Rattus norvegicus: one gene and its partners. The protein of the gene in region 5 interacts with the protein of the main gene of each other region in a pairwise test. Links are inferred from orthologs where the notes say so. Each region holds a gene or a part of one and is shown on either strand. Other genes may lie near its edges.

Region 1 (4,032 bases), on a different chromosome or scaffold from region 5:
GAGTGGGCAGAGCACCGACTCCTTCCGGCAAACCTGATAGGACGCAGTCAAACAGGTGTGCTGTCTTGGAAGTCGGATGAAGATCCACCATCATGTCCTTTTGTAGGTGAGAGGGAGGAATTTCAAAATCAGATTTGGAAGCAGTTTGCACACTTTCTTGCCTGGGACGCTGGACTGTCTCCGGGTCGGACCCCTCAAAGCGCCAGCTGGAGTTTGGTCATGTTTCTCTGGTGCATGTTGTGATGGCGGACTAATTCGTCTGACCGCGCAAACTTTTTCTGACAACTGTGCCACCGACAGCTGAAGGGCTTTTCACCTGTTGACACAATTGCTAGTCAGAGACACTTGCAACAGAATGACTGGGCACAGGTTCAACTATCAAAGGCCCGCGTTAAATCACCACAGCCCGCCCTGGACTCCCATGGGTCGTTCCCTAAGCTAGCCAACTGGCTCTTCACTGGCAGCCTGGGATTAGCAATGCCTTCTGAGGGCTTGATAACCAGAAGCACTGTAAATATAACAAAATGGAAAACGTGGGAAATGGGAGAGAAGTCTAGTTTGTGGGAATCTCTAAGCAACTCATAAATTAAGGGGGTTTGGGAAACCTCTGTTTTATCTCTAAGGATGCTCTGTGACCTGTGCAAATGTTTCTGTTGCTGTCTAAGTAGGACCTGATCTGCAAGGGCCACTGAACCACCACCCTGGGTACTGTTGATTGATGACTGGCCAGCAATAGATCTAGGACCAAAGCTTTACTCTTTATATATAGATGATTTAAAATAAATCGTGGATATCAATTTGTATTCTTTTTGCTTCTTTTTAGTGCAGAGTCTGACTCAGAAACAAACTGTGTCAGAGCAGAGGGTCTGGTTGCAAATGATTAAGACTGCTCTGTCTTGGGAGCTCCCATCCTCATTGAAGACAATAAATACCTTGCGTGTAATGCCTATCACACAGGCGTCACTTAGAGGTATATGATCCTTGCCTTTCAAACAGCCTCACAAAGAATCATTATCTTCACTCCACAGATGCAGGCAGGATTTGAACCTAGACATGCCTAATTCAAAGCCCACTCTCATCCCTGTGTCACATCCCCAAGGCTTGCAGAAGAAAATACCACAGGAAACAAGCCCAGTGCTGCCTGGAGGATCTTCCGAGGGTACTGATAACCTGTCTGTCCTGAAGAGTGAGGACTTTCCTGGACACTTACAATAACATGGCTTCCTCACGTCCTGTTCACTGGCCATCCATTTTTCCTAAACTGGCTCCTCCACCTCCTCACAGGCACTTCTCAACTCCCTTTCATATTGGTCCTCTCAGCTGCACCCGGCTTGGCTGAGTCTGGCTCCCTCCTTAACTCCCTGGCTTCTCGAGATAGCTGTTTGAACTCAAGCTCTTTCTCCAAGAACAATGGGGCAGAGGTGGGGCAGTTGCCACTGAGGTTGCCTTTCAATTGCTCTGTGGCTCTGGGCAAACTATTTAATCACTCCCCACCACAGACTCATCTGTTCAAAGAGGATTGAAACCACCTACCTAGTCTTCTTCCAGGGATGCCGTGAAGATGAAGAGCTAATCTAAGAGATGGTTCTGCTTCCTAAGGAAGCAAATGAGCAAAAAGGGCAGTGCTATTTTCACCATGAATCTCATAGCCTTGGGGGCAAACACAGTGCTTCAGCAGCTAGAGGCTGCATCAATCCCCCATTCTCCTCCCTGTGCTGGTATATCCATGTGCTTGTGTTAGTCTGACAGAAACCTAGACTCCTCGTGGAGCTTTAAGTAAGTGGGGTACGCTCTCTGATCGGGTATGAAACTTAGGCTCTCGGTAGAATAGAATATCTTGAATTTCTGATCACGCTATCGGGTTGATTGTTCAGTTGGTAATACAGCAAACTGGGGACAGTGGAGACGACCTTATCTTTGCTGTGAATCCCCCTGGGCATTCTCTGCCCATCTCTTGCCTACCCCATGCTCTTTGACCCTTTCTCTGAAAAACATTATCATTTATCATATAAAGATAGCCAGACACAGCCATTCTCTGAATGGATTCTCAACTCTAGAACTTGCACACGAGTCTCTCGCATTGCAAACAGTTTCATTAAACAGTAGCTTAGAAAATAATGAAGAATAAATGTGAAGAAAAGTTTACGCACTTGTTTTACCTGTATGAGTCCTGGTGTGGGTCTTCAGGTGGTCGGACCGGGAAAACTTTCGCTGACAAGTTTTACACTGGAATGGTTTCACACCTAAACGGACAGAGAAGGTCTAGCCTCGGCCCTAGCAATGTGGGGCACAGTGAGACACATGAGGCCGGCTTTCTGGCAGCTGGAGAAGCCCGGCATATCTTTCACATCAGCCAGGTCTGCGTCTACTGGGACCTCATGCTTCCTTGATCCCCAGACTCAGCAGAAGCCACCTGATTCTGTACAGCAACCTCCAGGAGCTGCTCCCGACTTGGAAAAACCATTTCCTAATTACAAACATCCAGTTCTCGCCAGTAGACAAGTGTTAGAGACTGAGAAAGGTAGATCACTGCAAACAGGATCCTCGCCATTGCCCTGGTTCCTGACTGACCATCATCAGTCACCACAGTCTACCGCTGAGGGATCCTACAGCCGCTGTGGCTCTCGTCACGAACGTGAGATGTTTCCTTCCTCTTCTCCTTCTCCTTTGTAAAGGAAGACTTTTTATGATGTGTGTGTGTGTGTGTGTGTGTGTGTGTGTGTGAATGTATGTCGTGTGTGTGCATTGCCCTCAGAAGCCAGAAGAGAGTGCCCTATGGAGCTGTGGTGGCAGGCAGTGACGGGCCACCTGGTGTGGATGCTGGGGACCGAAGCTGAGTGCCCCGCAAGAACAAGTACTCTTAACTGCTGAGCCATCATCTCTACAGCCCTTCTTTTTAAAAGAAGTCTCCAGGTGAGGGGAAGAAAGTTGGGAAAATGGAGGTAGATCACCCTCTTGTCTGTGTTCAACAGAGAAGACAGTCACAAAATCGGCTCTAACCCAAGGGCCTGTGACTGCTGGCAATGAAAAGTGAACCTACAAACCTGTGTGTCTCCTTTGGTGCCTTTTGAGCTGGTCTGAGCGAGAAAACCTTCTCTCGCAGTCCTTGAAGTCACACTGGTATGGTTTCTCACCTTAGGGAAAACACATGCCATTCTGAGTACAGTGCTGGAAGGAAACCTCTTCACAAGGAAACCCCCCTAAATGCAGATGAAGGGATCCCAAAATGCCCAGAGCACTAAGGGGAGCTAGTTAGGGTAGTGCTGTAGACTTCTGGGAAAAGAAAATCCCACTTACACACATGCCCATGGACACAGGAAGGAGTGAATGCAGATACCCTGGCGAAGTTCCCTCACTGTGAAATGGAACCAATAATCTGACAACATCAAAGGGTCTATGAACAGATTAGACCAGACCGTCCAAGTAGAAGGAGCAGACTGGTGCCTAGCACTGAGGCGATGATCAGAAAAACACAAACATTAGCATGGACTATTTGGAGAAGCCAAAAAACCAAAAAGGTTTGTTTCAAAGTCCATGTTTGAATCGGAGATAGAATTTTGGATAGTGTGCCTTGAGGCCGGCCTTGTGAATGAACTGTTCTGTGTTTTATGGCCTGAAGATTTGGTGTTCTCTGCCACTGACTTCTTGTTCCTGGGACCAACATAAATGACTCGATGGTTGTAAGATTCCCCAATTAAACCAGAAGCTGAAAGAAACATTTAGCAAGATTGTTGTCCTTTAATCTGAACCAAGTCAGCAGTAGGATTGTGCAACCCTGGACTCGGGAAAGAAGAGCCCCACCCCTGTGTCCACAGGAAAAGTTCAGCCAAAAGCTGGGAGAAGAGCCCCCAAGAGTGCACTGAGCTTCTGCAAGTATCCCCACCTCCTAGAATTCTGACTCACTGGATTCTGGGATGGAGAGCTAGATACTCCAGGGTCAGTAGGGTCTTTCCATTGGTGGACAGCTCCAAGTTTCCTTTCACGTCTCAAAACCTCTGGTGCTTCCCTGGCTCTGCGTGTCTCTTGTAGCTG
Region 2 (4,032 bases), on a different chromosome or scaffold from region 5:
AAAACCCACTCAACAACTCAAAAAACTTAGTGTTTTGTTGTCAAACATCTTTGCAAAGAGGAGCAGATAAGACACTGAACAGCAATGCAAGCGAACCATTAAAATCCACGTGCAAACAAACGTGCACAAGTGCGTTTTCCACAAACGCCATTACAATTTTCTCCTCGCATCCAGTGAACTCACCTCCGTGTTCCAGAAACACTCGAACACACCTCTCCTTTCCTCTTGCTGCAGAGAAATGGAGCAAGGTCCAGCCATTGGCATCTCGGCCATTTGGGGAATAGCCTTGTTCCAACATCTTTCGTACTGTGTGAACATCCCCGGCCGCCACTGCAGCCTGAATCTGCAATTCTTCCTGGAGCTCAGGGTTCCTCCGGCAGTGGTGGTGTAACATCCTAGCAGAGTCTGCTTTTCACCAACCAGACATTAGGTCACGGGAGGCAGCCTTTCGGGAAGGGAGAGCACATGCAATTTAGAATCTGTCTCTCTTCACACTGTGCTCACTGACCACCACACAACTATTCGCTCCCTAAATCAGTATAGACATGGAGAGCAGCTCAACAAGACTGGCTAGCAGGCATCTGCTTAGACCTAAATTTCCCATAGCTGCATTAAGGCTATAAATTAATTGAAAGAGAAAGCGGGGCAGAAAACACCCACTTAACAGAAAAATCTTTTCTGCAGTCTTTTTGAAAACTTGAAACTCCATTGGTCACGACAGCTCTCTCCTGGTAAAGTGGACGGTGGTCTCAGGACGCTAAGATGGCTGCAGTAGGACCAGTCTTAGGAAGTCTGACTTACACGATGCACCACCCCGACGGAAGTTACAAACTACTCAAGGATTTTATCACAGTCTGAGTCAATAAATATGGAATAGCAAAAAACAGCCCATTAAAGCCTGGAGGAGGAACTGAAAAGGAGGGGCTGTCTCTAGGCCAAGTCTCTGACCCAATCCACATCAGCATCTTATTTTTAATACAAGGTAATAAAGCCTGGGGGGTAGCAGCTGAGCGAAGGAACTGGATAAAATAGATTATATTCACACATGTGCGTGTGTTTCTCAGTTTTCCTACCTCGGCTACCTGATCACGATGTTTGTCTTCTCTTCCCTGTCATATTCTTTTAAAACATTTTTTTCTAATTTCAGTACCAGAAGTTTTATTTCATAAATACTCAAAATAGCATGCTAAGCAACCTGTGGATTGACCACATGATGAAATTACGTCAATGAACACTAATGCTAAGGACCCCACATCTTCTGCAGGTCATGGAGAAGTGTGTCCTCAAACCCAGCAGACAAGAAGCTTGTCCATGCACACAGGGAAGCCCAAAGTAACATGGCTACTTCTCATGTGGGGGTACAAGCCTGTCTGCATACTTTGAAGCATTTGAGATAGACAGAGAAAGCCAGACTGACAAGATCTTAGGAAGACATTCCAAATGGGCTGCTTTGTCAGAAGCAATTAGACGAATCTCCTGGTTGGTAACCTCCATTTCTATAAGTAAATTTGCTTGAAAGAAAAAAAAAGTGATAAAGTCCTTTGAAGATATTCTGTTCTCATATGTAGGTTAGACATCCAAGGATAATTTTGCAACTAATACTTTTTCTTACAAAATTTCTCATCATGAACTAGAGAACACAAGAAAAGTAAGCCTAGCTTGGTGGAGCCAAAACAGGCTGGGAACACAAACATCTGATGTGCTTTTACATATAATAATGACATCACTATAGTCTCAGCGATATCGCCCAGTGATATAATTTAAAAATATCAAGCTATTACCTCAAATAGCTGTTTCCTCAGAGAAAATTGGAAAATGAGAAATTTCTTGATAATTTGTTCTCTTAATAAGCAAGTTTCCTTTTGATTCTTCACTTAATTACTTCCTTGAAATTCAGTCTCTTGGCTTAGAAATTTAACATAAAAAAAATACCTTTCAGAATGGGTTTCATGTTAGTTTCAGTGCTATAAGAGACTATAACAAAACTTACCAGCACACATTAATGGAACCCCTTCCTGTCCACTCAGACCATCATCTTTAGCAGAACGCTTCTGAAGCTCTGATTTATTTTACTATTCTTTTTGAGTCAGTCTTATTTAGCTCTGCCTGGCCTCCCAACTTCCTATGTAGCCTAGGTTGGCCTTGAGCTCTTGATCCTCCCATCTCTAGCTACCAAGTGTTGAGTCACAGGTACATGTCGCCATGTTGGCTCAGAGTGAGTTCTGTGGATAGTGTAAGTGTGGAGATACACTAAGGCGCCCTCCTCTATAGCTCTCCCTTACTCTTTTAGAGAGAGTCCCTCACTGAACCTCGGCTTTACCATTTCTGCTAGACAGGCTAGATAAGCCGTTATGATCCTCCTTGTCACTGCACTCTGGTGCTGGGGTGACAAGTGTATATCCCATGGAATCCCATGGAAGTTTTCATTCCTGACTTTTCCCTGAGTAGATGGGGATCTAAACTCAATCTTCATGCCTGTGCTAAAGCACTTTACCCACTAAGCCTTTCCCAGGCCCCACAGGTGTGTTTAATAGAAAATTATCTTGGCACCTAGAGAGGTCTCCTCTATAGGAAAAAGACTGAAACAACATCAAAAGAAACCTAGGTTTTTCTTTCAGTGCCTGCTACATTAGTTTATTCTTTAAATCACTATTTTGCCCATTCTTTTCTGTGCAAGTCTATTCTATTAGACTAGGGACTGAACTCAGAGCCTGAAGCCTGCTAAATGCACTCTATTACTAAGCTATAGCCCCAACCAACTCATTAACAGATTTCAAGAAGAAAAATAAAAGTTAAACAGGATTTTCCTCAAAATAGCCTAGGAGGCTGATGATCCTGGGTCATCTTACCTTATAGAAGAATGTCTCTTCTCTCGGTGGACAGGTTGTCTAATAACCATGGCGTGCATGCAGCATGGTAGGAAGGGTTCCCAGTGTACCCCGGCCTCAGGGGAGTAGTCTTCTTCACCTACAAACAAACCAATCACAATCATGGGCTTTCCTAAAGTAAGAGAGAAAGCACCGCTGTCTGCAGTCTACTCTCTGATTATACTTTCTGATGACTTTATGTTTCAGGAGTTTACAACAAACTGACAGAAGAACTCAGAGAAGGTTTTGGAGCACATGATCTTGTTGCTTACAACAATCTCTAGACACAATCAAGTATGATTTATTTAAGAGTCTGTGCTGCCCCCACCCCAAGCTTCTTAAAAAACAGTAAATAAAGAAAATAACAAATCCCACATTTGGAATTTGGCTACAAGCTAAGAATCTTGTCTTTTCTGCTGAGAATATCTCTCAGGCCTGCTTCCTTTACTTTTTAAGGATACCATCAGTCACCTGCTCTTTTTAAAGAGAACTAAAAGGGGAAAAAAATGTGTGCATTCAACACAGCAGCTGCCAGGGGCCAAGTGTAAAGTAGGTGAGTAAATGGGGCTTATGCCTTTGAATGGTGGCTCTTCCTATGCCTTCCAGGCACCCAGTAAAAACATTTACTTACACACAACAAGCTAGTTAAAACATTAACTAGCCAGAGGTTTTACTACCTTCTCTACTGAATTCTTAAAGAACAAAACAATAAAAACCCCACAATATCACAAGGAAATCACTCTAGCAATTAACCTACTGGGAGATCCGACACCCTTTCTGGAGGTGGGGGGCCGAGCCTTTAGAAGTTAAAGGTTCAGACATGGAAATGGACAGGCCATCTGATGAGCTGACCTGTGCAGGGCAAGAGGGGCAACAGGGGCTGATGGCTGTGCAAGGGGACATTAGAATGGTTCCCATCTGCCTTTTCTGCACTTGATGTTTTATTTTCCCCTTTCTGAAGCCTTTAAGATAGGCAAAGATGTTGGCCTGCACACAGAACTGAAGTCTGAGTGCAAACTGTGCCTATTATTTTCAAATAAATGGAGTAGACACGGTCAGAACAACTCCTTCAAAGCCAAGTATAAATACCACAGAAGAAACCTTGCAGAAACTAAGACTGAGGCAGGAAGTCTACAGCATGAACCTGGAGCATCTTATAGTGCCT
Region 3 (4,778 bases), on a different chromosome or scaffold from region 5:
AGGCTAGCCAGGGCAACAGTGAAACCCTGTCTCAAAAATGATGACAACAACAAACTAAAAATAATGAAAAGAGCCCTATCTTTTATATTAGAAATTAATAGGTAAAGGAACTTTACATGGTTTACTGCTAGGATTTTTCTAACTAAAAAATAAAACCGGTGGGCTGGGGAGATAGCTCAGAAGGTAAGACTATTTCCTGCTCTTAGGAAGGACCCAGGTTCAGTTCTCAGTACCCACACGGTAGCTGACAGTTACCTGTAACTAGCTCTAGGGCATTTGACAAGTTCCCCTTACCTCTGCAGGCTCCCGCACACACGTGTCACAGACACATACATAAAAATGTTTTAAAAAAGTTTAAATAAACCCAACTCCTTTCACTATTAGTACCACATTTTAACACAGTTCCTGACAGTATGTATGGTCATTGTTTCAGATACTCTGGGAGATGGGTACACCTAGGGTAGTATGACAAATATCTCTAAACAGGGAATGAGTATGCTTTATGCACTGCTTTCTTTTTAAGAATTTTTCCTACAGTGAACATGGGCAGCTGAAGCCAAGATTCTTTCTTTTGTTTTTGAGAGTTTTACATGTAACCTGGTACTCACTGTATAGCCCTATATCGCCTCACCCTTGCAATTATGCTACCTTAACCACCCAAGAGGTGGGATTGCAGGCCAAGGCCAAGGCCCATCTTCCATCTCATCCCTTGAGGATAAGAAGAATGGAGGGAAGAACCTACTGATAGACACTATACATCTTGATACACTTGTGTGTGGGGGTGTGGGGTGGAAGTGTATAGCATGTTTTTACTGAAAACCTACATTGAACTGCTAGAAAAAGTCTTATGGCTGACTGGATCCATCATAGTATGAATATAGAAAATCTCAGTAGAAAAGAAAAAAAATCACAGGATTACAGAAACATACCCGTTTAAATTTCCCAGATACTTTGTTCTGAAGTCTGCTACAATTGTTACTGATCTGATAGGAAATACTTTTAATAGTTTTGCCACTTTGAAGAACGGGATGAGATCCTGCCAGTGTGATGACGCATATTCTACAAGGAGAAAAACAGTCAATCCTATGTTGTGGCATGGCGGCCAGAAACCTCCTCCTGTAACAGTATTCCTGCTGAGGGTGACTATCCAACCTGACCGTTGTTCAGTCCAGTTATCTCTGCTGTGATTGGAACATAATACAGAAAAGGAGAGAATAGAGTTGAATCTCCTTCCCAGGAAAGGGAGCAGTACAAGTCTTTAGTAAGCTAGGGTAGCAGAGAAGCATGGCAAGACTGTGGACACAGAACATGACAAATGCCTCCACAAGGAGCCATTCTATAGGTCCAGCAGTACAGTGGTTGGTACAGGTTGGCTAAGCAGTACATGACCCAACAAGACATGTTCTTCCCACCACACTCCTATAATATCATTTCAACACTGTAGAAGACAATTTCATGAATGCTCAAAACCAACCCAAGACCATACCAGACTAACTACCAGAAGGACAGTGTTGATAATTTCTAATTCCTGGTTTGCTTACCGGTTGGAGTGCTGGAGTATACAGTGGTCCTCACAGGGTTTTCCTTTAACATCTAGAGGAATAAATGAGTTGCTGGTTGTTGAATTAGTGTTTACTATTACCATGTGATTACCATAGTTCATTATGAAGCTGATCACAGTGGTCAAAGTAAATAAAGGCTATTAAGTAGTTTAAATGGCTTAATCCAGATAGAATCCTTTATTCAATGTTAAGGCAGGTAAGATTATTAACTTCTCCATCTTCTCACTTTAAGATGAGACCTATTATTTCCATTAGAGAAACACTATTATAAGAATCACGTTGCTTACATTGTGGTGTTGTTTTGTGGGGCTGTCTTGATGTTATAAAAAAATCACATTTTTGGAAAATTCAGTCCTAAAGAGAACTAGGAAGGTTGCTTATCCTAAACGCCGTGTGTGGGCATACCAGTTTCCCTGAATTAAAAAGGCTAAGGTAGAGGCTAGAGGAGGGTCCCCAAAAGTGGTATTGGTATTTTCTGGGCACAAAGAACACCAGCGAAACCTACTTCAAAACGTCCAGTGGACAATATGCACGGCTTCTTCTTTTTTTTTTTTGGTTCTTTTTTTTCAGAGCTGGGGACCGAACCCAGGGCCTTGCGCTTCCTAGGCAAGCGCTCTACCACTGAGCTAAATCCCCAACCCCCACGGCTTCTTCTTAACATTAGATGTTCCTTAACATCTCTTAATGTTCTCTCCACGCCTAAGGTTTCTTCCCGACTGGGCGTAGGATTGATCCTTCCAAGCACACAAACACTTGGCAGTGTGTGGAAGCCCAGATATACTAACGCTGAGTTCCTTAGTTTAGTTCACGTCCTTTCCTGCCAACAACCCGCATATGGCACTGCACTTCCCACGTCGGAAATAGAACCTGTAATCCTGAGACTAGGAAACTCAAGGAAGAGCACAGGTGGCTTACATCGCGTGGCAGAAGTACCTGCGGCATCCACCCTGTGCGGTAGAGCAGAGCTCACCACCATTCCGCACTTACCCGCTTTATACCAGCGAGTGAAGTATCGATCTACAAGGGAGGGTGCTGGGGGTTCGGTAGACATGACTACCTCTGGCGCCACCACCCCGGCTTCGGGGCAGGGGAGCTCTTCCATCCCGCTGGTCCAGGAGAGTACTTCCGGCGCGTGGTAACGTTGTGCACGCGCGCGCCCGCGACTCCCCGGCCCGCAGCCGACCTCCTTCCCAACCCCAGTCACTTGCGCTGCTGGGCCAAAGTCCAACTGTTGGGCAAATACAACTGGGCGTCAAAGGGCTGAGGGACAACAGACAGCAAAGTCCTTCTGTCTCTACCAGGCTAGGACCTCGGATCTACAGAGGCGGTGCATCTGGCCACACCCACCTGGTGACGTCAAGTTAGTGCGTCTCGTGGGTGACACCACGTCTGCGCCGCCTTTCTTGTGCTACCTGGCGGGTTTCGCTCATCGGTGGTTCGTGTCTCTTGTTTCCCGTGTGCTTTGGCGTTTCCCTTCCAAACCCAGTGTACCGTGAGGGTTCGGAGCCGCGCACTGAGGCGAGGGCGCAGTTCCGCTAGGGCGTTGTAGGTGAGCATTCGTCCGTTCCAGTCTGAGCTGCTTTGTGCGGCCTGGTCTTGCGGGCCAGTTCTGCCCTGCTGCAGGGAAGATGCACGCGCCTCTGTCTGCGCGCGCGGGCGGGGCAGCGTGGACAGCCTCTCTCTTCGAATTTCGGATGTTTTGTGTATACTTTTGCTCCGGATCCAACCTGGGGCGCTGCGGGACACAGCTGCGGGGGATGAGGGTCCTGTTCCCCAATTGCTGGTTTCCTTGCAGAATATAGATAAAACCTCTACCAGCTAATTGGTTAGTTCGTTGTGAAGGTGATAGGTAATAGAGGCCTTTGTGCTGTGCTGCGGATCCTTTCTCGCATTTGGGTCATTTCTGTGGAACAGTGTATCTCTTGCTTTCCTAACTGGTTTGCCTAACCCGGGATTTCTGTGATGGCAGTGATTGTGTAGTCTTTTGTTTCTAGGGCCTAACATTTGGCAAGTTTTGATGTAAGTCACATAACGGATCTTAGGTATTGTGTAAAGGATTCGTTTGTATGTTGAGAACCATGATATATAACCAGCGAATACCTCTATGTGTAAGTGAAAGAAAAAGAGGCGTAGGCAAATTTTAGCTTGTGGAAACAGAGATGACAATGAGTCCCAAGCCAGGATAGGCTGTTATTTGATAAGAGATCAGCAGGTTCTCTGTTTTTCAGGTTGCATTTCATGTGCATGTAAGGGTCAGCTTATGATAATATCAGGAGATAGTGAGTGATAGTGAGTTTAATGTTCAGTTTGGACTTGTTCAGTTACAAGGTATATAGGTTTATCTAATCTTCCCTTTAGTGAGCTATCTAAGCCTGAAGGTAGGGGACCACGGGGAGAAAATGGAGCAGTGGTCAGAATTTTAGGACATGATCAAAGTTGTATGAAAGGACTTTTTGGCACATGTGTGGATGGAGAAAAGTTGAATTCATGGAACCCAGGGAGGTGCAGTAGGAGGTGCCAAAGGAAGGCTATTAGCAGATTATGATCCTACAATCATTTGGAAAATACTCTTTTCCTAACTTGAAAGCACTGAGAAAAATACAGGGCTATGTAACTCCAAAAAGTTAAATGAGTGAGGAGTGTTGGAATGACAATTTAGAGAAGTCAGTGTTCATGCTAAAAGAATTGTGGCATTAGAGAGACTAATGAGCTTGCCTTTTATCATGTGCATGAAGTGGCTTCGGAGGCCAGAAGAGGGCATGGGACTCCCTGGAGCTGGAGTTATAGATGTTTGTTAGCTGCTGTGTAGGTGTTGAGAACTGAACTCAGGGCCTCTGGAAGAGCAGCCAGCACTCATAATAAACCTCTGAGCCATCTTTCCAGACCTGACCCGAGCTATTCTTTTAAAAACTCAGATTGCTTTGCTGTGCTTTATCAGTCAGGGTCCAGTCAGAAAAGTAGAGGCCACACAGTATTTCAGCAGGGTTTATTATGAAGAATTATTTAAACTGCTCTAGGAGGAAGGAAAGGAAAAAGTGAAAAGCAAGTAATTTAGAAGGTAAGCTGAAGGAAGCAGTTCCCACGGGAAGGGAGCAACACTAGGGCAGATGTCGGCATCATCAGGCCCTAACACCTCATAGAAAGGCCCTGTAACACTGGGACTCAGACTCTAGAGTGATGCCCAGAAACTCAGGATGAGGCCTGGGGCTGGACTTC
Region 4 (2,934 bases), on a different chromosome or scaffold from region 5:
TGCTCAGAACAGTTGACCACTCTGGCTATAGATTAGTTCACTGTTTTTATTGAATGCCTGACGTAGAGCTGGGGAATGCACAGAACACTGGCATTTAGATACATTCTCTTCCCGGAGAGGTCACTGTCCATGGCAGAAGTAGACATACCAGCTATTCAGATCCCAGTGTGAGGAGTATCGGAAACAAAGGCTGGGTTAGCAGAGTTCAGAGGAAGCTGTCAGGAGCTTGGAGGTGTGTATGCCTAGAATTCCAGCACTCAGAGAACTCTGAGTTCAAGATTAGTCTGATATGAGTTCCAAGCCAACCTGAGCTATAAAATAAGAAAGACCTATCTCAGGGAACCAAAGCAAAAACCTGTAAGACAGCAAAGGTTAAGTGTAAAATTGGAGGCAGTTAAAGAACAGTGTGGCCCAGCATCCCGGAAGCTGATGCTAGGAGCTGACATTCAGAGCCAGTCTGAACTACACAGTAGGATCCTTTCTAAAGCTGAGTTAAAAAGGATCTTTGGTTGGGTGTGCTGGTACATCCTTTATTCCTAGCACTCCGGAAGCAGAGGCAGGCAGGTCTCTACTGGTCTATGGGGAGTTGTAGGCCAGCCAGGGCTAGAGTCAGATCTGTTTTGAAACAGTTTGCAGGTTAACCTGTGAGCCTGGACATAGCAAAGAGAACATATTTAAACAGTTGTAAGCAGTTGGGTTCAGAGATGCAGCCACCAATGTACCAGGACAGTGCATGCAAAAAGTAAAAAGAAAGGGAGAGGTGGTGAGGCAAGGTCAAAGGTCAGGTGTCAGGAACAAGATCAGTGGGGAGGAACAGGTTAGGGTTTCTTTAAGTGACAAGTATGGAGGTCCTTGAAATACACACTTTTTAAGGCCTCCAGGGTATGGATGGAGAGAGAGGCAGATTTCTGGATTGGTTTGGGAGCTCACCTTGAAGAGGAGCTACTTCTTCAAGAGGAAAGTACAAAGTTTCACATTGTTGTATATTAAGTGTGGTGTTCAAGTAGATGACCAGCAGTTGCAAAGCTGTCTGAAATTCTTCTAGAAGTCACATGTGATAAGACAACCAGTCCAGAGTTGTAGGGAAAAATCCCTAAGGCTGGCAGTTCCTTAAACCTCCACAGAATTGCAGACCAGTTCCCAGGAAGGGTCACCAGCTAGAGCGTTCAGGTTCTGACACCTACAGCCACATGGGTAGAATGTCTCTCCTGATGACTAGTCCATTTGGAAACTTAATAACTCACTATGTATCCCTAGCTGACTGACTTCAAACTTGTATTTCCCTCTGCCTCCTAAGAGTGGAGGTTACAGGCATTCCTGGCTTGGAAACTTTAAGTGGAAAAGAGGACAATGCAGGCCCAGGGCAGGCTTTGCTGGGGATGTGGAAGCTCTACAGCTCACCAGGGGCAGGGCAGGCAGTTGGACGTTAGTTTGTAGGCTCCTGGTCACTTAAGTAGTGCTTCTAAGCAGTGGTGCTAATCTGACTGGTGGGATGGGCCAGGGTCCTGGGCGGGAAGTTCAACCCTCTCAACTGGAACAGCAGGAAGAAGTGCTCCTCAGAGCCCTTGAGATGGCTCAGTGCATGGAAGGGCTTGTCACACAAGCCTGGCCACCCGAGTTTACTCTGTAGAACCTATGGTGGAAGGGGAATGGACTCCCATGCGTGTGCATGTTGTGTACAGGCACATGTGGCATAGTAAATTAACTGTTTAAAAACAGTATCCCAGAGTATTGACTGTGAGGTCTTTTCCTTTATAGAGTTACTCACAAAACCTGTGTCTTCTGGCCAAGTGTTTCCTCGACCACAAGACATTGTACTATGACACAGACCCCTTCCTTTTCTATGTAATGACGGAGTATGACTGCAAGGGCTTCCACATCGTGGGCTACTTCTCCAAGGTCAGCACTCACAAAGGCTGTCCCTCAGCCCTGCCCTGAGCCTGGCCTTCTTTAACCCACCTACTTTTTCCAGGAAAAGGAGTCCACAGAAGATTACAATGTGGCCTGCATCTTGACTCTGCCACCTTATCAGCGCCGGGGCTATGGAAAGCTGCTTATTGAGTTCAGTGAGTATGGCTGCCTGATCCGGTGTCTGGTAGGCTGGCAGGCCAGGCCTATGTGGGTGTTCCTTTGCACGCAGACAAACCAGTCACCAGGAGAGCTGCCAGAAATAAAGGGATACTCCACCAAGGCCTTTCCTCAGTTGACTGCCCTGTTTCCTGGAATAAGTTCCCAGCATCTACTTCTCTTTGGCTAAAGGCCTACAAGCCACCAAATTTTTCCCAAATTGGAATCGTGTGTTCTCATCTGGAGCTCTGAGCAACCTAAAAAGTCTGGTCAAGGACCAGTGGTTCTGTTACTAGGCATGCCCTAAGCGAGCCTTGCAGGCAGTAGGTTCAAAAAGGTATACGGCCACTAAAAGACAGACTCCTGTCCTGCTTCTTTGTAAGGCTAGTCTTTTAAAACCCAAGCGGGCTCTGGCCCCTTTTGAGGACACGGACTCTTTTTTTTTTTTTTTTCTTTTTTCTTTTTTTTTTCCAGAGCTGGGGACCGAACCCAGGGCCTTGCGCTCGCTAGGCAAGCGCTCTACCGCTGAGCTAAATCCCCAACCTTAAGGCTTTTTTTTTTTTTTTTCCTTTTTGAGGACACAGACTCTTAACTCTGCAGTCTCATCGTTTCCTGCTGTTAGTCCACCCAGTCCTGTTCTGTTCATTGAACTGTTCTCTGGCTCAGGAGTCAGGGAAGAAGCTTTCGCTTTTCTGCTGGTGAAAACACAGGTGTCTAACTTGTTCAGAGTCGGGTCTCTTTGGAGTACCTCACTGATTAGAGCAGGCGAGAGGAAACTCAAAGGGCAAACGAGATATACCTACTTTTGCCTAGTAGGACACAGAAATGCCAACAGATTGATAAAAGGGTGGGAGCAATCATTGAACA
Region 5 (4,032 bases):
GAAGGCCATGTGACAGTGCCCTAGGAACATGTGTTCAACTAACGAAGAAGAAAATCCCAGTCAAAACTATAGTAAAAGTACGAGGTCAGAATGGATGGGATGAGGTTGGATAAAAGATTCTTTTAAGCTTCTTTCGGGGGCTGAGATAGCACAGAGGGAGAAAGGAAGGACCTGGTTTTGATGCCCAGCATCAGGAGAAGTATGACTTCATTTCACTTGCCATTTACTTGCCATTCCACTTGTCAGATGCCTTGCCCTGCCCGCCAGGACAGCTGTTAACATAGTAAGTTCTGTGAAGTGCCCAACAGTCCGCTTGGTACTTAACCAGTGGGAAGTTTGCTGTGCATTGAAGCTGGACTCTACCCCAAGCTACACAGAGTTGAACTTCTCCCATTGAAAGATGACTAGCGACTAACCATGTTCTGATTTCCTCACCATAAAATCATGTGCAGCCACTATGTGGAGGCAGCAGATAATTTAGGGATCTATTTGCTTTTTTCGAAGAAGCAGCAATCCTGGAGAGTCATGGGATCGATGTACAGAGTCCAGGAGGCCATTCCAACAGCGACGATGTGGACGGGAACGACTACTCTGAGCAGGTGGGTGGCTGGGCTAGCCTTCTGGTTACCGTGGGGGGCAGTGGCAACTCAAGTCTGTGGGTGGTTGTATGGGGCCGGGGAGCAGCTGGTGTCCCTCCACTCTGCTCATGTGTCTAGTTAGATTTTCATGCGTTTGGAAAGGAATGTGGTAAGACTCTGTTGTCCTGTTAAATCTGTGAGTAATCTCTATCCACCCTATGGGTTTGTTGTCACACAACAGGACACTTGGCAAGCACGCAATGGGGAGGAGGAGGAGGGAAGAAGTTCAGAGGGAGGCAGAGAAGCAGAGAAGGTAGAAGAAGACAGGAGGATCTGACCCAAACAAGCAAGTTACAACACTCACACACACAGTGTTGAGAAACACTTAGGGGCATGCGGGCAGCTGTGACCGTGCCTGCCGTGGACCATGAAGGCACAAAAGGCCCCGCCCACTCCAGTCCCCATTACACTGGGAACCCTCGTGCCCAGAGGAGTGGCTAACCAGAGTCTCTCTGGACACTGACTCATCCTGTCATAATGCAATACCTGCATGGTTTCTCATCTCATCCTGCTGTGCTCTGCCTTGCTTCGGGAAAGTGTATTTAATTGTAGCCACTGCATGGAATAAGTCGATAACTGTGATTGGGGGAATTCCCCACACCCGCAAACATGTTGACAGATTTCATTAAAATGTTCTATAGGATCAAATTTCATTTCCACTTGGGAAATTCAAAGAACACACGGTCCTGTCCCTAGACTCTTTCTTCTGGTGTTTTCCTTGTCCTCAGCCGCCATGTTCTTCATTCTCAGTTGTCCTCAGCTTCCGCGTATCCACTATTGCAGCAACATGTGTGATTCTCTGCAGATTCCTTCTTAAATCCCAAAGGCTAGTGTCTAAAAGCCAGAACGAAACAGTAGTAGCCATGTGTCCCAGCAGATTATGCCCCCAAGAGACCCAGTTCTCCAAGCACAGCTCCACCCTCCGCCCGGGGGAGTGCTGTTTCTTTCTGGAAACATCCCTGTCGTTTGTCAGCAGACCCACATGGATGGATCATTGCCACCTTTTTTTGCAGATGCCCTGAGGGCAGCACATCACATGCTTCCCGCAAGGGACTTTTCTTTCCAAAGCTCTTTGGTACAGAGTCCCCTGAAGATGAGACAGGTGAGATCCGTCCCAGATCTGTGATGGCGCCTTTAGTGCCCAGCACACCTGCAGGGAGAACTTCCATCACTGCTTTATTCCTCGATTGTCTGGGTTTGCCTTGGTTTGGTTTTGGAACTTGCAGTCAGTCTCTTGCCTCGGCCTGGGCATGGTGGGGTCACAGGCGTGTGTCCCTACGCCCACCAGCAGCCTCACTGTTTACTGTGTGCGACTTAGAGGGTGGAAAGCTTCACTTAGCTCTCAGTCGGGGTCTGCACCTGCAACTTGTGTAACTGCAGACCGTCCCTGATCTGTAAGGTGCTTGTTCTACATTTCCTCCACTGTTCTCAGCAGGGACACACTGGGTCCCAGTAGCTTTGTGGATTTAGGAGTACACTAGGTCACTGTTGTATCTGTGGCAAACAGAAAAATCCAGACTATTAGTTTATTTTGATCACTTCAGCTTTGATCAGCACTAGCAATTTTTGGTAGAATAAATACTGTGCGAAAAAAGGAACAAAACAAATCATTTATATCCTTTTTATTTATTGAGTCACAAAAAATTGAAAGTCTCTGGACCTGTGTCCATTCAGTGTCTACTTAAATACAGTTCACCTCCACCATGAGATGCACTCAGCCATTTTCTCCACAGATGCTCTGTCCCCCGCACGGCACCCCTGCATGCCTTTTTGTGAGCTTGAGATTGCTGCCAGCCAACCAATAACATTCCTTTCTTATCTCTGCACGTCTAGGATGACAGCACGAGCCATAGCGACCACCAAGATCCCATCTCGTTAGCTGTGGAGATGGCGGCCGTCAACCACACTATCTTGGCATTGGCCCGGCAGGGAGCCAATGAAATCAAGACAGAGGCCCTGGATGATGACTGATCAGGGAGTTAAACAGTTAACTTAGTTTAGACGTAGCACCTTAGCAGACTTTCCTCGGTCCTTAACATGTGTTCTTACAGTATAACTTACAGTTCCTTGTATGTCAGGTAGCCATTAGGGTCTTGTTCTGTGAAGATGGCATGGTGCCCTCATTCAGCCTTTGCATATACTCTCTCAGTATTCAAACTCCAGTAAGTAAGAAGCAAACAGACAAACCTCCCTCTCCCAGCCCCTGAGGTGAAAAGACAAATCTCGCTGCTCTGTCTTAGCATTCCAAGAAAGTGCTTCCAAGTATTTAGATAACCCTCAGTTCTCAAATATTAGGCTCTGTGTAAAATCTTGGGTACCTTTAGATTCCTGTAAAACTAGGCTGTACCCCGTCCCCGCCCTAAGACTGATGGGATGCAGGCTGAGGCAGTGGCACAGGGCCGACAGACACCATCTGGCAAGGATCCGTGGAGCGGAGCACAAGGAACATAGAGCCCCACCTCGGCGTGAGACGCACTGATTCAGCTGCAATAAGCCGCCTCCTGTCACAGTGTGGCCAGGCTCTACTTCTCTGGGTGCTGTGTTACGAATGTCGTTGGAATCCCAAGCTCAGATCTTGGTTAATGCTAATGCCCAACACAGACATCCTTCTGTCTTACAAGCTGTGTGACCTAGTAGATAATATACTGCCTTCCGCCTTTGGGACCACGATTCTAAAACAAAAAAGACAAAAACCAAGTTCTGAAAAGCAAAACCCAGCTTGAGAGCAGTAGGGAAAGCATGAGCTGAGTGTCGGATGGACGCTAAGCCCAGGTCTCGGGCCGCTATACATTCCACAGCGCGATGCCAGCGCCTGCCTGGGAAGTATTGGAGTTACCTTGGAAGTTGCTTTGCCTCCTGTTGGTGCCCCCTCCCTGCTACCAGAAAGTATAGAGCTGAGGTCAAGAGTGAGTGGAAAGCAGGCTTTGTACCTGTCACCTGAGGCCCACCAAGGGTTGCTAGGACTCTGCTGGGGACCGTGGCAACTTGACTGTCACAGACGGGGATCCTTGCCTAGCTAGGTGCAGAAAAAGCAGGGGACATTGCCACCTACATGTCGAGCGCGTGGGACAGCAGGACGTCCCTGCTGTGTTCCCTTTTCTGTTCTTGTGGAGGTGTGAAAGCTGTATTGCTACAGGCGATTTATTTAATAATTGGAAGCCATATTGATAATGGATGTGGTAATATTTGTAGTTTAATCTACTTTAAGCGGCAGTAACTAATGGAATTTTTTTCCTTGATCACATATGTAGCACTTTTGTTACTTTTTAAAGATATTTATATTTGATAAATCTTTTTTTCATTTTGAGAACTCAAAATACCAAACAGTGAACTTGCGTTATAAAGTCACCCTGTGGTCACCTTGTCATCTAGTAGCAAAATGATGAACTATTCA
Region 6 (4,032 bases), on a different chromosome or scaffold from region 5:
AGGACAGTGAGGAACTGAAGCAGACAGAGGACGAGAAAACGAAGCAGATATACAAGAACTGGAAAGAAGACTCCGAATGGCAAGCATCTTGTGAGTACCCAGGATCTCTCGGCAGCACCATGCAGGGTCTCAGCCGGGCCTTCTAGTGCAAAAGCATCCGGGAGGCATCCAGAGCTCATCCTGGAGAAGTACCTGTCCACTGAGTTGTCACTCAGGTGTTACCAGTAAATGCTGATTCCTCGGGGACTTGAGTAGCAGGAAGGTTTGGTTTCATCGCTGTACCCTTAAATTAGAGAGAGTTTCTGCTCGGCAGAATTACACACAGCTGTGGAAAATAGCCCGCTGAAGAATGTTTCCTAGTTTTTAAAAGATGCCTCTTTCTTGGAGAAGAAACATTATCAATAGCATAAAAATCACCATTTAAAAATTCTGAATTATGAAGGAAGAGAGCAGGAAACATATTAACGTGTGAACCTTGCTTTTGTTTTTTTGTTTTTTGTTTTTTGAGAAGTTAGCTATTAAATTGTTTATTTGAATTTGAATTCTTGCTATTCTGTTTTGTTTTTTCCCCCAAGTTCTCAGTAGTGCATATACTTTTAAGCAGTATTTTTTTAACTGACATACGTCAGTTCTCCTTATAGAGTACCATACACATGACATTGTAACACAAAGCACACAGAGTTGACAGGTGGGATATATTTGCACCATTTCCCTGCATCTCTGCCTCTGACCCAGCACTGACTCTCTTTGGAGTTTGTACTGCCAGGGCCAAACCAGAAAGAACAGATGGACAGAGGACAGGCAACCCAGGTATGAGAATGGATTAGTCTTCCTGCCATCAACAGAGAAGACCCACTGACAGTCCCCTGAGACTTGTAGAGAGGCTACACCCAAGTAACAAGATTTTCTAGAGGCTCAGAGTCCTGAATTGATCTATGTTTCCTTTACAACAAATGCCAAAAATTTTGATAAAACAAAAATATTTGCAAGATCCAATTTGTGGCCTTCTGTGCTAAGCCCTGAAACTCCAGTACAATGAAATATTTTCAGTGTGTTTTCAAAGTCAAACATGACAGGATTTAGCCCATAAAGTCTGAATTGTAAAAACGAAAACAAAAGTCCTCCATGAAAACGGGTGGTTGCATCCTGTAATAATCTTTAATACTCTATGGCTAAAACATAGCCCCATTTATTTTAGAAAGAAATTAATGTTAAAAGGCAGATTGCGGAGCCTGTGTATATTTACTGAGGTGTTCTGAAATTCTCCACATGTTTCCGGGTAAAATCCCTTTACTTTCTGTCTCTCTGGCCAATTCACATTTAGTTAAACCTATAATAGACTCTGGATGTGACCTTCGACCAGCCTCCGTGCCTTTTTCCTAGCTCACCTGCTACCAAGAAGTCCTTCCTGTTTTTTGCTAGTGACTTGGGATGCACTGCGTCCTGACCATAATTGAATCAGGGATTTAATACTGGTCTCTGGCAGCCCTGTCCCTCCCACTAGGCTTCACAGCTTAGTATTTGCCCGGTAATGTACTCTTGCTATACATTTTCTACCCCACAACCTCCTCCTCCTCTTCTGTGTTCCTTTCCTCTCCTTCTCAGTAAGTCGCCAGTTCCTAACTGCAGATCGGAATTCTGGAGCGAGTGCAATAGGGGCCTTAAAATGTGATAGTAGGTACTGGGAATGATAGTTAATATGAACACAAAACCAACTCTGCCTGGAGCCTTCTCAGTGTACTGTGGTGCAGGGCTGAGTCTGCTGTCTCTGTGGGATCTGAATGTGACCCTTGGCAAGGCTATTGGACTAACTCAGACACTGTTATCTTTCTAGTGCGAAAATCTAAGGCAGCTGATGAGAAGAGACGCTCCTTAGCGAAACAAGCACGGGAAGACTACAAGAGGCTTTCTCAAAGGGGAAGGAGTGGCGACGGGCTGCAGAACCCACTGACTGGTCCACAGAAGCCCAAAAGACCTCCTCTTCCTCCGAAGCCCCAGTTCCTACAGCCGCTGGGAAGCCCTCCAAAGTCTTTAGGGTAAGAAGCCGCACAGATGGCTTCCTTCATAAGCCCTGGGATGGGCTAATTAGAGCTGTGTGTCTTGGGGCATGGGATGGGGTGGGTGCTCGTGTTGGCTCACTGCTTAGGTCAACGCAGGCTTGCCTCTAACCAGTCTTCCTTGACTCCTTTCTTTCCTGTAAGATAGCCACTGTGGCTAAAGTTAGAACCCAACTGCAGGGTGAAGATGTCAGGTGACTTGCTGTTCCCCACCTTCACCAGTGGCAGCAGGCTGACAGGAATGAAAAGGGGGAACATGGAGGGCAGAACAGTGTTTAATGAGCAACATTGCCTCTAGTCACCAAAATAATAATTAGGATCCTGGGGCAGGTAGACTCATTCCCAGAACTACTTTTTATTGCTGGAGTCAGGGTTTGATGGCAGAGCCAAGATCATATTTTCAGAATTTTGAAATGCTCTATTTTGGGACAAAGCATCTCTCTTATTTGGCCATAAAGGTAACTTTACTTTCTAGGGACAACATGTGCTAGAAGATAAAAAAAGAAAGCTAGAGTGATATCCAGAAGAAAACAGCATCTTTCGTGTTTACTGACTACCAAATTCTTTTTTATAACTACTGACTTATATAGAATATTATTGTTATTCTAATTTTTATTTGTTTGCTTGTAGTAGGGTTCAAACCCAGGGCCTTTCACATGTTAGGCAAGCAGTCTGCCACTGAGCTATATCTTCCACCCTAAAATTCCCACATTTAGAAAGAAATGTTTAAGATCAATTATTGATCATGTGATTGATCACATGATCTAGACTGTGGTTAGCATTGTCTCTTGAAATAAAAACTAAAAATACTTCTCTGTTAAGAGTTTTAACAAACAAACAAATGAACAAAATCTGTTCTTTTAATTGTTTAAGTCATTCTTTTTTCTAACTGAGGACTATGACCTCAGAGGAAACACAAGAGTAAATTATTTCCCCTACTTAATAATCACTTCTACTTACTCCACTGAAGGTTCCAGATTGAGATGTGGTGACCAGCACTAAATGACACAGCACACAGTTTGGGAAATGAAGTTTTATTTTTCTCCCTTACAAGTAAAAATAAAACGTCAGAAATATACACCTCCTGAGCTTCGTAACAGGTCACACATGGGCTCCCACATGTGGTCTTGTCTAGTGTAACTCTGGCTACAGAGCCTCACAGGAAGCCTTTCTGGTTTGCTAGCCCCTAGCATGGGGTATGGTTCATCTAATGTCTTTCCTATAATGTTTTTAGGACACAGTATATAGATGACAAGGAGAGTGGCCTTTTAGAGAGTAGGAGACAGTTTCCGTCAGGAGTACTCAGCTTGCTCTTTTTTAAGGCAGTGTAGAATAGCTCCCTGAGTGTCAGAATAGATAGGGCTGGGCCTGGGACTCTGGGCAGTTATGACAGAGGTTAGCCAAGAGCCAACCGAGAGAAAGACAGGTACTAGCTGTCCCACGTATGTGGAGTTTTAGTCTCTCTCTGAGGATTATGTGGAGAAAAGGAAGCTAATGTGAAAACTAACATGAGAATTTGTCAAATAATCTAATGTGTATGCAAGGTCAGCTTCCGGAAAAGTTAAATATTGTAAGATATTTTCTCTCAAATCCTCTGAATACCATTAATAATAAAACATAGCCATATTTGCATATATATGTGTGTGTGCATGCATGTATGTCTGCGTGTGTGTGTGCACGTGTACACACACATGCAAGCATGCACACATGTACACACATGTTTGCAGAGCTGTTAAGTACCATGAAACTCATGGCATACACAATTTGTTGCCAGCAGAAGCACAAAGAGCCACATTAATTTGTACCATGGAAGATTCCAGTAGCTCATTCAATCTCTTTGTTTTAGATTTAGAGCCTGCTCACCTAGTGGCTTGTTGAACAGGACTTGGGCGAATATTTATTACACCTCTGCGCTGCCTTCTGTAGTAGAACCATCTGTGCCAGGACGTCCTTCTGATGCTGAGTTGGTTTCAAA
Region 7 (4,590 bases), on a different chromosome or scaffold from region 5:
AGTGCTGAGGTCTAGTACTTTGAAATTAATACCCACAAAAGCACGGTGCCCAAACCTTACCGACTGCCTCTTTTTTTTTTTCAAGTGAGACTTAAGACATGTTTAAGATAAAAGTCGATCAAAACTGTCTCAAGCCCAAGTGCTGGTGGCAAATGCCATCACCAAAGCACTCAAGAGGCAGAGGTGGGCAGATCTCGGTGAGTTTGAGTCCAGCCTGATCTACAGGCCTCCCAAAGCTACTCACAAAGAAAACCCTGCTCAAAAAACTGTCTCAAATACGTTAGGGAGTGGTTCATGAATAGTTAATATGCCTGGTACCCCGATCTCCAAACTCCCAACAGCTCCTTTCCCCTACCTTTGTCACTAGCCCCAATATCTTAAAGTGGCCAGTTCAAAGTCAGGTGCTATAACTGCAAGCAGAATACACAAGTCACTTTCTCCTCGCGCCCCTTTTTATCCCTTCCTCCGAATATCTCCTAGTCTAGAAACCTTATTTCTAACCGCTGGATTCTAGTTGCGACGGGACAAGGCCTCAAGGACAGAAAGAGGTACCGAGAAAAAGAAGGTCCAACAACTCTTGGCGGGTTCTTGGGATGAAGTGCTTGCTTTGCCAAATTGTTATGCCTGGGAAGGGAGAACCCGCACTCGGGTGTCCCCTGATCCACACAACCCCAGGACATCTTGGTCAGCCCTCGAGGAACCGAGAACCTCGGTCAAAATCCCCCTCCCCGGGCCATTACAGGCTCACAGACACCTTCACGACCCCACAGCCCCCCCCCCGCAGAAGCCCTTCAAGTCCTACCACGTCACTCCCATGGCGAAGGGTCAAAAGGTGGTACTGCCAAATACTCAAACTCAGAGAATCCAGACCTTCCCACGAGAGGCAGCCCCCTAAACACAGGAAGCGGTCGTTGACCGGCCTCCGGAAATGCGTAAATACTGAGCGCCAGGACGACACGCCCACAGGGAGAGGCATCTCTGGATACACCAGCGGTGACATTTCTAGTACGTCATCGACCCGGCTCCGCCCCCAAAACATACAAGGGGTTGACAACACGCCCTAGGCTACTTTCATGAATTCTGGAAAAGGTGACTCGAACATCCACCTCTTTCAGTGAGATTATCTGAGAATTTGGAGACTCCTGCTCCAAGCCCCGAAGCTCTTCTAGAGATGGCGATATATGAGGAACTTCCGGCCTCCGAACGCTGGGGGGCACTGTGATGCCTCAGTGACCTCTTGGAGACCGGAATACAAGGCGCAAGCGCAGTCTCGTCTCTTAGCCGGCTTCACACGTGTAAACTTTGTGGGCAAGTTTTTCGACAAAAATGCCCAAATTAAAGGTGACACGTGGGGCCAGAAATCAAGAGAGACATGCACCTCTGGCGGAGCAGATTCTGGCTGGGGACGCAGTGCGTGCGGGGACCCGAGAAAAACGGCGGAGACACGGGGTCGAAGAGGAGGAAGAGTATGTGGGACCCCGGTTGAGCAGACGGATTTTGCAACAAGCCCGGCAGCAGCAGGAGGAGCTCGAGACTGAACACGCGACTGGAGATCGGCCGGCAAAACCGCGAGAGCGCGCCACGCGGCTGGGTGAGTGACAAGGGGTGGAGTGGTGAGTTGGGCCGGTCTGATACTCTCCATCGGAATACTGGGTTAGAATTAAAAAGAGTAGGCGGCTTAACTTTCCCGCGTGGTCCTTCACTTCCACTCCTGGGTTTCGGGATCCAGACTTAAGCCAACAGAATGTGATCTCTCACACCAGTTCTAGCATTTATTTATTCTCTGTGCGTTTGAAGTATCTGTGGGCTGCCTGCATAGTGCTTTGAGCTGTGTTAAGTTTTTAGGCAGTTCTGATCCAGAAATAAGATCTTCATCACTCCTGATGGCACCGGAAGTGTAGCTCAAGGCACACATTAAATAGATAATTAGAGTAATATATTCCAGGCAGGAGTGGCGATGCTCACCTGTAATGCCAGCACTCCAGAAGCAAGGCAGAAGGCCTCCTTGAGTACATAGTAAATTCCAGATTAACCTCGACTACATTACATGATAGAACCCTATCTCTCAAGAGAGGGGGAAAGATATTTCTGTTTAAACAAAAACAGATGGACATTAATTCTGTATGGTGGGTATCCCAGGTTTCACGTCCTTCTAGTAAGATCTGAAAAGCAAGTGGGAAGTGTTCCAGTGATGAGGGAGGGGAACGAGTATTGTTCAGAAGCTAAAAGTGGGGTGGGATGGGTGGGTAGATGCTTGGTAATCTGTCTCACTGGGGAGGAACTGTCGTTGACCTCCAGTTGCTTAATCTTCCATTCCCATCTGTCCTAAAAGCAGTGTTTGAATGTGGCTTTAGGGCTACAGCAGCTTTTCTGAAGTAAGGGCTCAAGGAGCCCAGGCTGGCCTCAAACTCTGTAGGGGAGGATGACCTTAAACTCCTGATCTTGCCTCTGTTTTCCATGTGGCATTATAGGTGGTTGGCACCACGCCTGCCCTTAAAAACATTTTGTAACTGAGACTGGGTCTCCTTCAGTTGTTCAAGCTGGACTTGAACTTGCCGTGACCAAGGCAGGCCTTGAGCTTATAGATCCTTCCGTGATGCTGTCAGCAAATTTCACTCTGAAGCCATCTGTTTGATGGCTGCTTCCAGATTTTTCTCCCACGTACGTAGTTCGTCCAAGAGGCTCACATCTTTATTTCCAGTGGTCTTCCTGACAGCTCCAAGTTGAAGACTGGTAGCTGTCGATAGTTGAATGTGTCCACACAGAAGTTCTGACTTCCTTCCCAAACCTGCTCTCTGTTGGCTACACAGAGTTTGTTAGCATGTTAGCCTTCCACTGCTCAAGGCACAATCCAGTGTTCTCTTTCTCACTTCACAGTAAATCCTGATGGTTGTGTCTTTAGAATATATCCAGAGCCAGACCACTTTCCATTAACTTGGAACGCCTCCTGTTTTAGCTACCACAGTCTCCCCTGAATCACTGGGAGAGCATCATAATTTGTATTCTGTAACCTCTGTGGTCCATTCAACAGCTAGAGATCAACAGAATCCTATCTAATCTGCCTCTGTTTCAGGTCTAATCACAAAGTAAGGAGGGGATAAGATAATTCAGCTGGTAAGGAACATGACTTGAGACTCTTGACTTCCACCTACAACAGCTTGTAGTCCCACAGTGTTGAAGACAGATCTCTTGGACCCACTGGGCAACCAGTGTAGCCTAATCAGCTAACCCCAGGTCCCAGCCAGACCCTGGTTCAAAAACAAGGTCATCAGCTCCCGAGAAATAATAGTCAAGATTCCCCTCTGGCCTCTATGATGCAAGGGTTCACTCATATATAAAAAACTAACAACAGCAACAACAAAACACCCCACAAGTGTCAGCATCTGTCTCCTAACCTCTTTTATTCCCCTACTTATCTCATAGCACTTGTCTTCTTTTATTTAACATGTATTTTGTGTGCGTGTCATGATGTGTGTAGAGAACAGAGGAAAACTCTTGAGAATTGGTCCTCAGCTTTTCAGAACACTTGTTCTAGCAGAAGATCCGAGTATGGTTTCCAGCATTCATATGTCAGGCTTGCTGTCTGTAACTCCAGTGGCAAGGGGTCAGATGCCATCTTCGGATCTCACTAGACACCAGGCCCGCGTGTGCACAGACATACATGCAGGCATGCAGGCAGGCACCGCTCACACTTAAAGTAAATCTACAACAAACACCCTTGGCTCTCCCTGAATGTGCTCTGTGGACTCCTTGAGCTCTAGGTACCCTTAGTCCACTTCCAAGCACATGACCTGTTGCTCTGTAACACTGCAGCTAATTTGGCCCATTAGGCTCTTTCCCAGCTGCCTTGCCAGGTGTGTGTGGTGTTTGTCACTACAGGTATGTTGGCACATGGCTTTAATCCCAGCACTCAGGAAGCACCCAGCCAAGGCTACATGGTCAAGACCCTGTCTCTAAAAAAATAAAAGTCAGGATATGTCAGGAATGGCTTGACCCACCTATCCACCTATCGCCCACGTAAGGACACAGAGACATTTTATTATGAAAGCTTGGCCTTAGCTGGCTTGTTCCCAAGTAGCTTATACAACTTAGCCCATTAATACTAGTGTACACGGAACCACATGGCTCATTTCCACTCCTCAGTACCTGTATGTGTTTCTTCCTCTGGCTGTCAAATCCCTTCATATCTCATTTCTTTCCCAGAGTTCCTATCTCTGCCGGAAATCCTCTCCTGCTTTGCTATAGGCCAGTCAGCTCCTGATTAAACCAATGGGACGGAGACAGAGAAGATGTTGTTTATACAACACCTGGACAGGTGATGCTTCACAAAAATAACAATAACAACTGCAAGTCTCCACTGTTACAGAAATCAGTGTGTGAATAATTCAAAGACAACCTTACACAGAACAGGAGCGTTTATCCCAACATCAGGAGCTCAGTGTTAAGCATTGTGGTGTGTGTTTGTGATTCCAGCACTTGGAAAGTAGAGGCCTGAGAACAAGGACCTCTAAGTCATCCTTGACTACCTAAGTCAGCCTTTTAAATGTATTGGTTAATCAGAGTCTGGTGCCACTGACTAGCCCTCAGCCT

What was found.
Region 1: the proteins of Hmbox1 (region 5) and Wt1 interact in binary tests that used the Homo sapiens proteins (3 or more experiments, as listed by UniProt). The link is inferred for Rattus norvegicus from reciprocal best matches to the Homo sapiens genes HMBOX1 and WT1.
Region 2: the proteins of Hmbox1 (region 5) and Asb7 interact in binary tests that used the Homo sapiens proteins (3 or more experiments, as listed by UniProt). The two-hybrid records come from large-scale screens. The link is inferred for Rattus norvegicus from reciprocal best matches to the Homo sapiens genes HMBOX1 and ASB7.
Region 3: the proteins of Hmbox1 (region 5) and Abitram interact in binary tests that used the Homo sapiens proteins (3 or more experiments, as listed by UniProt). The two-hybrid records come from large-scale screens. The link is inferred for Rattus norvegicus from reciprocal best matches to the Homo sapiens genes HMBOX1 and ABITRAM.
Region 4: the proteins of Hmbox1 (region 5) and Kat5 interact in binary tests that used the Homo sapiens proteins (3 or more experiments, as listed by UniProt). The two-hybrid records come from large-scale screens. The link is inferred for Rattus norvegicus from reciprocal best matches to the Homo sapiens genes HMBOX1 and KAT5.
Region 6: the proteins of Hmbox1 (region 5) and Sh2d4a interact in binary tests that used the Homo sapiens proteins (3 or more experiments, as listed by UniProt). The two-hybrid records come from large-scale screens. The link is inferred for Rattus norvegicus from reciprocal best matches to the Homo sapiens genes HMBOX1 and SH2D4A.
Region 7: the proteins of Hmbox1 (region 5) and Bysl interact in binary tests that used the Homo sapiens proteins (3 or more experiments, as listed by UniProt). The two-hybrid records come from large-scale screens. The link is inferred for Rattus norvegicus from reciprocal best matches to the Homo sapiens genes HMBOX1 and BYSL.

The regions. Positions count from the first base shown.
Region 1 is NC_086021.1:112,063,348-112,067,379, reverse strand, and holds part of Wt1 (Wilms tumor protein homolog), read right to left. Parts: intron 3,135-4,032; coding exon 3,045-3,134; intron 2,244-3,044; coding exon 2,151-2,243; intron 317-2,150; coding exon 195-316; 3' UTR 1-194. UniProt on the Homo sapiens protein: Transcription factor that plays an important role in cellular development and cell survival. Recognizes and binds to the DNA sequence 5'-GCG(T/G)GGGCG-3'. Regulates the expression of numerous target genes, including EPO.
Region 2 is NC_086019.1:129,667,335-129,671,366, forward strand, and holds part of Asb7 (ankyrin repeat and SOCS box protein 7), read right to left. Parts: intron 2,968-4,032; 5' UTR 2,850-2,967; intron 1,906-2,849; exon of another isoform or gene 1,782-1,905; intron 446-1,781; 5' UTR 395-445; coding exon 184-394; intron 1-183. UniProt on the Homo sapiens protein: Probable substrate-recognition component of a SCF-like ECS (Elongin-Cullin-SOCS-box protein) E3 ubiquitin-protein ligase complex which mediates the ubiquitination and subsequent proteasomal degradation of target proteins.
Region 3 is NC_086023.1:76,299,158-76,303,935, reverse strand, and holds the start of Abitram (protein Abitram), read right to left. Parts: upstream 2,883-4,778; 5' UTR 2,665-2,882; coding exon 2,550-2,664; intron 1,594-2,549; coding exon 1,542-1,593; intron 1,060-1,541; coding exon 930-1,059; intron 1-929. UniProt on the Homo sapiens protein: Actin-binding protein that regulates actin polymerization, filopodia dynamics and increases the branching of proximal dendrites of developing neurons.
Region 4 is NC_086019.1:212,326,857-212,329,790, reverse strand, and holds part of Kat5 (histone acetyltransferase KAT5), read left to right. Parts: intron 1-873; coding exon of another isoform or gene 874-990; exon of another isoform or gene 991-1,752; intron 1,753-1,758; coding exon 1,759-1,899; intron 1,900-1,972; coding exon 1,973-2,066; intron 2,067-2,934. UniProt on the Homo sapiens protein: Catalytic subunit of the NuA4 histone acetyltransferase complex, a multiprotein complex involved in transcriptional activation of select genes principally by acetylation of nucleosomal histones H2A and H4.
Region 5 is NC_086033.1:43,253,708-43,257,739, reverse strand, and holds part of Hmbox1 (homeobox containing 1), read left to right. Parts: intron 1-504; coding exon of another isoform or gene 505-507; coding exon 508-599; intron 600-819; coding exon of another isoform or gene 820-915; exon of another isoform or gene 916-924; intron 925-2,471; coding exon 2,472-2,609; 3' UTR 2,610-4,032. UniProt on the Homo sapiens protein: Binds directly to 5'-TTAGGG-3' repeats in telomeric DNA. Associates with the telomerase complex at sites of active telomere processing and positively regulates telomere elongation.
Region 6 is NC_086034.1:26,123,655-26,127,686, reverse strand, and holds part of Sh2d4a (SH2 domain-containing protein 4A), read left to right. Parts: coding exon 1-90; intron 91-1,834; coding exon 1,835-2,036; intron 2,037-4,032. UniProt on the Homo sapiens protein: Inhibits estrogen-induced cell proliferation by competing with PLCG for binding to ESR1, blocking the effect of estrogen on PLCG and repressing estrogen-induced proliferation. May play a role in T-cell development and function.
Region 7 is NC_086027.1:20,879,083-20,883,672, forward strand, and holds the start of Bysl (bystin), read left to right. Parts: upstream 1-1,258; 5' UTR 1,259-1,326; coding exon 1,327-1,591; intron 1,592-4,590. Other genes in the region: Med20 (mediator of RNA polymerase II transcription subunit 20), read right to left, coding at 803-816. UniProt on the Homo sapiens protein: Required for processing of 20S pre-rRNA precursor and biogenesis of 40S ribosomal subunits. May be required for trophinin-dependent regulation of cell adhesion during implantation of human embryos.